2 separate regions of the Mus musculus genome follow, and region 2 is reported to be linked to region 1. Evidence: microRNA targets listed by miRTarBase, many of them from high-throughput screens and not tested one by one. Region 1 holds a microRNA gene; the other region holds the end of a gene's coding sequence.

Region 1 (4,392 bases):
AAGCATAGGAGAAAACTAACTCTATCATATTGTTCTTGGACCTTCATATTCAGTGTGGGAAAGAAAGAAAGAAAGAAAGAAAGAAAGAAAGAAAGAAAGAAAGAAAGAAAGAAAGAAAGAAAGAAAGAAAGAAAGAAAGAAAGAAAGGTAAAAAAGAGGGAGGATTTGAAACTCTGGATTTAAAAAAAATTCAAACGAAAGAATAAACTGAACCTCCCACATTCTTCCTTTATTTATTTTTATTATTATCTTAATACTGAATGTAGCCCTGCCTAGTCCCGTGCCTAGTCACCATAGTAGACCAAGCTGGCCTTGAACTAACAAAGATCCTCCAGCCTCGGCCTAGAAAACTATAGGATTAAAGGCGCTGCTTCTAGAAACAAACAAAGAAATCTGTTTCCTCTGGGGGGTGGGGGGGAGAAGAAACCAGTGAAGGTCACTCTGCCGCAGGGAAACTCAGCTCAGAGGAAGCAGGGTGGTAGAGTAAGGATTCTCCGGGGTGGGGGAGGGGTATCAGAGCCTCCCAGTCCAGGGGGCCAATGAGCCTTCAGACTATATAAGAACCTAGAGCCTCCCCCACGCCTCTCAGAGACTTCTACTCCACATCGGGAATGCTGGTCTCTGCGGTCTTCAGGGATACCTCCGGCGTGCTGCTTCTCACATAGGCAAAGGTAATATTTTTAGTTTCAGATTTTTTATTTCCTTCAGTTCTGTGGTTTTAATCTACCTGGTTTAGAGAGGCGAAAGTAGATCCAGGATTTCCAGAAGAGAGATCTTCCTGCTTCAACTTTGGAGATGACTAGCCAGGCTGGCCTTTAACTCTCATTTCTGCCTGCCTCTCTGCCTCCAGATTAAAGGTCATCACGGCCATCTTCATTCTACTTTTTAAAAACTAGAGCCCCTTTTTTAAAAGGCAGGCTAGCCGCGAACTCAGCCTTCCTCGCTCGCCCCCACGGTTTGGCTGGGTTTACTAATCCCGAGGCAGAGGCAGGCCCATCTGAGGTTGGTCTGGTCTCCAAAGAAGACATTTAGAACTAATGTGTGTGGAAAAAGAGTTGGGCTTTTTTTTCTGACTTGGTCTACATAATTTCAAGGGAGGAACGAGCCTATGTGGGGAAAGTGAGTAGTCTGGGCGCGAGTGAAGTTTGGGGACCAGAAACCAAAGCTAGGAGTTACTGAGGGCAGGTCTAGGGAGTCTATGCAGTACATTTCATTAACTACGTGGTTTCATTGTAGAAATTTTGAGTTTCACTATACCTTGAGTTAGACCGATGTACTAACTCTTCCTTGATTTCATCCAGGTTTCCTTCAGGTTGGAGTGAATTTTAAGTTCTCCACGTTCTTTCCTCCTGGTAAATGTTTTAACGTCTGGACCGCCTCATCTTGCGGTACTCAAACTATGGGGGCACTTTTTTTTTTCTTTAAAAAGTGCCGCCTAGTTTTAAGCCCCGCCGGTTGAGAAAACGGCTATCTGGCACATTTACCAGCCCTGGTGCCACGTGTTCCGGGTTAACTGCAGCGTGGTGAGTACGGATTCGAAGAAAGGAATGAGACTGAGTATAGCGAAAGGCTAGGGATGGGCATCCTGCCCAGTAGACGGTAACTGAGGTGGTCGTTGTAGGGTACCTGGGGGCTCCATGTGCGTCCTGTCGCTGCTTGGAGCTGTTACACCTATGTAGCGGCCATCAAAGTGGAGGCCCTCTCTTGAGCCTGAATGAGAAAGTGCTTCCACTTTGTGTGCCACTGCATGGGGAAAACATCATAGCTTTGCATCTGACGCATCGGTTTACAGGAGCGGACAACCTGTGTGGGGGTTTAGGCTTGGAGTTTAATGGGTCCTATCCTAAAGAGGGCGGTTCAGTTGGGTGCCACGAGACGCGGATGGATGTAAGGCAGTCGTGAGTCCAGGTGCATTGTAGATTGTTCTTAAGCTTGACCTCCAGCCTGTGATACTCAAACTGGGGGCTCTTTTGGATTTTCATCGGAAGAAAAGTGCCGCCAGGTTTTGAGTGTCACCGGTTGAGAACTCAAAACGGCTAAGAACTAAGAATTAAGTTTTAGTGGGTCATGTTTTCACTGGGGTTGCATTTCTGGGCAGGTGGGTGTCACATGTGGGTTTGAGTCCGAACACTTGGGCGCATGCGGTACTAAAGGCTTTCCGCGTTCATAAAGGAGCCGGGATCCCACATGGGCCTCGCTCGGAGGAGCTGAGCCTCAGGTCTTGGAAGTTGGAACATACAGTGTCGATCAAAGTGGAGGCCCTCTCCGCGGCTTGGCGGGAAAGTGCATCCATTTTGTTTGTCTCTGTGTGTACATGGCGTCTGAAAAGCCGGCTGCAGCTGCAACCTGGAATCGCTTACCTGCTTGAAACAGGTATGTGTGCTGGAGGTGAATTCGTTGCCACTGGCTACTCGAGCTGCAAGGCTGGAGGTGAGGAGGAAGCAGGGCAGGGTGGAAGGAGGCACTCCAGGTCCAGGGGTGGTGAGTCTAAGCCTCAGGTCTGAGTAAAGAAAGGCCTACTTTTAAATCTCACGTGGCCGCCATATTAAGTCCTCTTTCAATTTTTTTCCTTTTTCTCCAAACAGGGTTTCTCTGTAGCCCTGGCTGTCCTGGAGCTAACTCACTTGTAGACCAGCCTGGCCTCAGCTCCATCCACCTGGGATTAAAAGATCCTATATATCTTGCTTGACTACTGTAGTTGCTATATCTTGCTTGACTACTGTAGTTGGACTGATGGTTGTGAGTCTTGATATGGTTGGATTGAATTTTTAGGACCTGCTGGCTGTAGCTGACTTTAACCTGGCTCCTAGCACAAACAAGCTTGGTGGACAGCCGGGTAGATAATACCCATAATACCTTTTGGCTTTACAATAGCCCAGGCTCATGAGGGCTGGGATTACAGGTGTTACATTGTGTGCCCTAAGCATAATCTTCATGGATTCTCTTTGTTTTTCAGGTGTTCCAGTTGAGTTGAATGTAATCCTGCCTAGCCTGGGGTACTTACTTGCCTTCAACCTGCCTGGCTGGCTGGTCTGGCTAAGAACTGACTATAAAGTTTCAGGTTTATTACCACAGCAGGTCCCTGTGGAAATGCTTCAATCTGTGGTACTCAAACTGTGTGACATTTTGTTCTTTGTAAGAAGTGCCGCAGAGTTTGTAGTGTTGCCGATTGAGAAACTGCAGTTGGCCTAAGTGTTGCATCATTTGGGTGTCATCTGTGGGTATGATTCAGTCTGTAATGGGGCAAAAGTAAAAGCTGAGGTGCACGGAACCTCACGGGAAGTGACCCAGATTTGACAGGTACTGTATTACATATAGCTGCATTTATCCTTTTGGCATTGAATAATCCTTAATCTTCAGTTCAGTTGTAGGCATGTTTGGATCTAGCGAAATTCCATATAGCCATACTCAAAATGGAGGCCCTATCTAAGCTTTTAAGTGGAAAGTGCTTCCCTTTTGTGTGTTGCCATGTGGAGAAAGCATCGGAACTTCAATCAACCAGAGACTCCTTGCTTGCTCATCTTGGTGAGACTCAAATGTGGGGCACACTTCTGGACTGTACATAGAAAGTGCTACTACTTTTGAGTCTCTCCTGTGGGCACCATTCACAGGTCGGCTGCTTTCATGCATGTGTAGTGTGTATCTGAATCCAGATGAAGGTTTCCTGGAACTGGGACATGTGGGTGCTATTGAATGAACCAAGGTGCTATGGGAGCAACCAGTGCCCTCAGCCTCCAAACATGAATAATAAAGTCTTGTTCTCTTGATTTTGCTGCTTTCTCAGTTTTTGTTTTAAAACACCCGCCATGGTTCCTAGGGATAAAAAAAGCTTGCAAGCATGCAAGCACCCTTTTAATCACTGGGGTTGAGACTAAAGGTAATCCTGGGCTATACAGAAAAACCCTGTCTGAAAAAATCCCCAAAAGTTAAACCAACACATAGCTGGAAGTGTTTTCAACAGTAATAGGGCACCTTTTGGGAGACACCCCTGTTTGCCTCTTGGGATTTAGGCATGCCACCCCTCCAATGGTTTTAAGGAAGAATTACCCTGTACTAGCTTAAAGGTGCCTTTAAGCATAGCCACATTTAAGCCCACATTTGTTTATATACTGTGAGTCTTTTCCATTTCTATACATCATGGCCAGTTCCTTTTAGTGGAGTGTCTGGATGGTTACAAGCTAACCTGAAATGGGGTGGTGCCAGGTTTTAAAAAGTAGTGGGTTGGGGAGCAGGGTGTGGGGGAGGATATAGGGGACTTCTGGATAGCGTTTGAATTTAATATAATAAAGGTAGATCTCTGGGTACTGTACTGGAAGTGGGCGGAGTTATCCCATTATAAGTGGTGGAGCTACCACGTGGTTGCTGGGAATGATGTCTGCCAGGCCTCACTAG
Region 2 (4,392 bases), not on the chromosome of region 1:
CAGTATGTATACACAAATCCTTTCCTCCCCTCCCTCTTCCCTCTCCACCTTGCTTTCTTTTTCCTTTGACAGGGCTAGGAATAGAACCAATGTCCTTGTAATCCCATCAAGTCCGTTGCCACTGAGCTCTGCCGTCTGTGGTTTGCAGATGGGCAACAGTCTGCTGCTGGCTTTCCCTTTCTTTATACTGTGGTACTTTGTGCAGGGATGGCTCCTATACACTGACTTTGGAGAACACAAGAGAAGTTTAGGCTGAAGCTGAGTGAGCTTTTTGCATCTTCCCAGTGCAGCCTGCTTTGTAGCCTCACGTGTGCTCTTCCTTCTTCTCAGGTGCTGCTACATCTTCTTCCTCCTCTTCTCCCTCGTCCAGCTCCATCACAGCTGCTGTTATGTTGACACTAGCTGAACCATCAATGTCCAGTGCATCACAGAATGGAATGTCAGTTGAGTGCAGGTGACAGCAGGACTTGCTAGAGCACTTTGCACTTAATGGCTGTTGAGGGCCACATCTTTTTTTATACTGCACAGTGGCACACAAACACACAAAATCAGACAAGCACTATTTTATATTTAAAAATTATTTCTTGACAAGCTGACTTGGCACTTAAGTGCACTTTTTTTATGAAGAAAAAGTACAACGAACTGCTTTTCCTCAAGCAATAATTGTTTCCAACTTGTCTGGGAATTGCGTGTGTCTGGTAACTTGAAGGCCTTCCACTGTGGCAGAGGAGGCTTTTCACTGCCTGTAGAGACGACACAGTAGGCAGAGAAAAGGTGGGCCAGAACATGTGAGAAGACTTACTGTATATGTATTCCCTTGTATTTTGTTAAAGCTGGAACATTTGATATTTTTCCATTCATTTATTAAAAATATGAACCTATTTTCATTTGTACAAGCTAATTGTTTTTTAAAGCAAGTCACTTTAGGGTGACTTTAATTGTATAAGTCAAGCACATGTAACAAATTCAAGACTTGCAGTTAGTTAACAGGATATTATTAGACATCATCCTGGTAACCAAATATTAAAGATTCTCTTTAAAAATGACTGAACATGTTTACAGGTTTGAATTAGGCTAAAAGGTCTGTGGTGGCTTTTCACACCCCTTCAAATTGAAATGGGACTACTGTACTTTGCCATTTTTCTATAAATCAGTATTTTTTTTTAATTTTGATATAATACATTGTGTGAAAAAAGAAAATGGCTAATAAACTGTATTAAATCTTAAACAATGTATAAAGATTGTACTTAGCCAGTTCAAAGTGTATATTTATTCATAATGAATTATAACAGTTATATTTTTGTGTTTTCTTGTAAATGTTTCTTTTCCCTTAAATACAGATAATTCATTTGTATTGCTTATTTTATTATGAGCTTACAACAAAAAGACTTCAGGAACAAACTGTTAGAATGGTTCAAGGTTGTTTATATGACCTGCCTCACAAAGATGGTTATTATTTTAAGTATAAGTAGCTAGTTGGGTAGTAGGCCTATACAATTCAATGCCTTGTATAAACTGCAGAATGAACGCCAAGCTGTTTTCACTTGTATTGACTTTATGTTGTATGATTCCAATCTCTGTTTGGCACTTGTATTTAATTCCCCACCTTTGTAATACATTTGTATATTGCGGATGTGTTCATTGAGGCTATTTAAAACCTGGCGCTGTTAATACACAGTACTTCACTGTACAGACCGTTTTACTGTTTTAATTGTGATTCTGTGTGCTTTTTTTGAATGAGGCTGGCATGTTTTATTTGTTTTCTGGCAATACATGTGAGAATCTCGAAGCGTTTTGTTGTAGATGCTAACGTGTCAGAATCCTTAATCCTTTACATTGAACCTTTCTAAGAAAAGCATTTTCAGTCTTGTAATGTGTGCTTACAGTAACTAATTTTGTTGAAAAATGATTTCAAATTACTCAAATTTGTACAGACTGTAAAGATTTGTTGACAGCAAAATGTTGAAGAAAAAACTTATAGAATAAAACTATAAAGTATATATTAGGATCTGCAAACATGATGAATTATGTAATATATTGTACAAATGTAAGCAAAAGCTCTGAAATAAAATGCCATAGTTTGTGAATCCTTGATTTTGTTTGTAGAAGGTAAAGTAATTTGAGTTCACTTTGTATGTGATGAGTGCTGAGAGTCCATGCAGCCTGTATTACCTATCACAAGGGCTCACATCCGTATCCCAAAGGGAGTGTTCCGCTGTTCAAAATTAAAAGTCCCTTTATACAGTGCTGGGTTGTATAGCATGTACTTAGTGTGCTCCAGTCCTTGGCTTCAGTTCGCAGCACTGCACCAAATCAAACCGTAAATTCAAAAAAAAGAAAAAAAAAAAAAGTAAGTAAAGTGATGTTTTTAGGCTGTTATTATATAACTTTGCTAGAGTCTGAATACAGATTTTTTTGTTACAGTTGGGGGGAGGGGGGCATTGTCCAAAGAAGGAAAAAGGTAAGTACAATTTTAAAACTATATTTTGGGGCTAGCAGAGGTAAGCACTGATGACCAATCTTGATTTATCAATCCCTAGAACCCACATAGTAGAAGGAAAGACTGTCTCCTGCAGTTATCCTCTGCATTCACATACACAAAATACACAATAGAAAAGGATGTTTCTGCAGTGTATAATGGCCCATACCTGTAATCCCCAGCCTCAAGAGGTTGAGGCAGTTAGATCTTGAGCTACAGACGGAGTCTGTCTCAGTAAACAAACCTTGTTTTTCCTTTTTCTTGAGAATAAAATTGCTATATTGCCCAACCTGGTTTCAGTCTCACAGATTCTCAATTCTGCCTGAGACTCAAAGTGCCAGTATTATAGACCAGTAGTTTCTTAAAAAATTTTATTTTTCTCAGAATTATTACCTACAGTGTCTCTTGTCATTTAATATGATGGAGCCTTTCTGGCTCTGCTTTGAGTAACACCTCTGTACCTGTTACAGGAATCCAGTAATCATTGTTAAACCAGCCAGTATGCCTCTCCCCATTTCCAAGGTGCCCTAATTTACCTGATATATTGTATATTATCTTTTAAAAAAAACACTGAAGCAATTTAATCTGTAATCTCTCAGTGTAGAGTCCTTTCTTATATAGACCAAGCTGGCCTTCAACTCAGATTTACCTGCCCCTACCTCCTAAGTGTAGGCATTAGAGGTGTGTACACTACACCTGGCCTTAAGCCACTTGCTCCCAAATATGTTCATTGTGGCACTTAAGGAGGAAGAAAGTGGAAGAGATGGGCTTATAGTCAGAGGGTCTTGAAAGTCATCTAACAAATTTGTACTATATCACTGCAACCAGTGCGGGGGTTAGGTATCAAAAAATGTGCTGCCACTTGAGAGGAAGGGGGTGGTAGCACAAACTCGATGGTGTTTCAGTCAGAGCCCAGGAGTCTTCAAGACTCCATAGCTTGCCTTTCTCCTCTTACACAGGTAAGAAAACAAGGACCGACAAAGGGGGAGTCTCAACAGAGTGCTGCATGGCCCTTGTCATTCTCTTTAGTATTCCTTTCCCCAGCTGCACGTAATACTGATGGCTGGCAGAACAGAGGTGGGTTCCTGGCCAGAAATTGCTCTTGCTTTTGAAGACAATCTTGAAGAATGAGGACAGTGAACTTGTACCTGATCCAACTGACTCCTGTACCTAATACTCTTGAGCTTCGATGCATCACATCTAAACCATGAAGTTGAGGCATGAGAATAGGTCTGAACAGGCTAGGAGGAATGTACACACTCTGCTGCAGTTTGATCATTGACGTGTCAATTTAAGTTGGCCTACAACTTACCCATAAGGAGATGATCGCATGCTCATGGCCAGCTTTTCAGACTTCTTGTACACCCAAGTCCAGGTTTCCCTAATCGGCTCAGGGCAGCACGACAAACAGGAGACCTAAACCATCAGTTCCCCAGCTCCTGAGTCCCGATCAGCCACAGCCTGCTTGGAGAAGGGTTCAGAATGGAGGGACAAGGCCCCATCTCGGAAGTGACTGGAACTTGGGACCAGAGGGAACGTGAGATTCGTGGGAGTCCGGAAGTGAGGACTCTGCGTTGAGGCCGTTCAAGGAAGCTCAGGTCTAAACTTGGTTTCGGAAGGAAGGAGCACAAGAGAAAAAAAGGGCCTGGAGTGGGGGGTGAGTGGTGTGCATTATTTCAGAGCCATGTATCTGTGTTCTTATCAAGAGCCCTGTGGAATGCCAGGCTGGTTTCAGCTTGCAGGGTGTCCAGTACTCTCTTGGTGACGGTGTAGGTCTCCCCCTTGAGTTCCACCAGTGTTCATGATGACTCCAGGTGAATCTCTGAGCTGTGTCCAAGTGTCCCTTTAGGACTAGGCTTAGCGGGTAACTCCTGTAGTTACTAGCTATGCCAGGGGAGCCCTCCTTCCCTTAA

The links. The annotated mature microRNA mmu-miR-290a-3p reads AAAGUGCCGCCUAGUUUUAAGCCC and lies in region 1 at 1,426-1,449, shown strand. An mRNA with a match to its seed (bases 2 to 7 or 8) in the 3' UTR can be bound and repressed. Matches are read on the target gene's strand: a 7mer-m8 pairs with bases 2 to 8, a 7mer-A1 pairs with bases 2 to 7 and ends in A, and an 8mer does both.
Region 2: miRTarBase lists Arid4b as a target of mmu-miR-290a-3p. Seed matches in the 3' UTR shown: 7mer-A1 at 483-489, 8mer at 600-607 and 7mer-m8 at 1,584-1,590.

Annotation. Positions count from the first base shown.
Region 1 is chr7:3,217,249-3,221,640 of GRCm38, forward strand. Mir290a (microRNA 290a) reads left to right here and starts at 1,378; the gene lies at 1,378-1,460. It overlaps Nlrp12 (NLR family, pyrin domain containing 12), which reads right to left. Exons shown (of 10, transcript NM_001033431.1): 10 at 4,262-4,392. Mir290b (microRNA 290b) reads right to left here and starts at 1,447; the gene lies at 1,390-1,447. It overlaps D7Ertd143e (DNA segment, Chr 7, ERATO Doi 143, expressed), which reads left to right and starts at 1,536. Exons shown (of 1, transcript NR_028425.1): 1 at 1,536-3,767. It also overlaps Mir291a, Mir292, Mir292b, Mir291b, Mir293 and Mir294, and 1 more gene.
Region 2 is chr13:14,197,276-14,201,667 of GRCm38, forward strand. It overlaps Arid4b (AT rich interactive domain 4B (RBP1-like)), which reads left to right. Exons shown (of 24, transcript NM_194262.2): 24 at 331-2,328. The coding sequence ends at 458. Among named protein-coding and RNA genes, the nearest start is that of Gm26129, 110 kb to the left of the region's middle.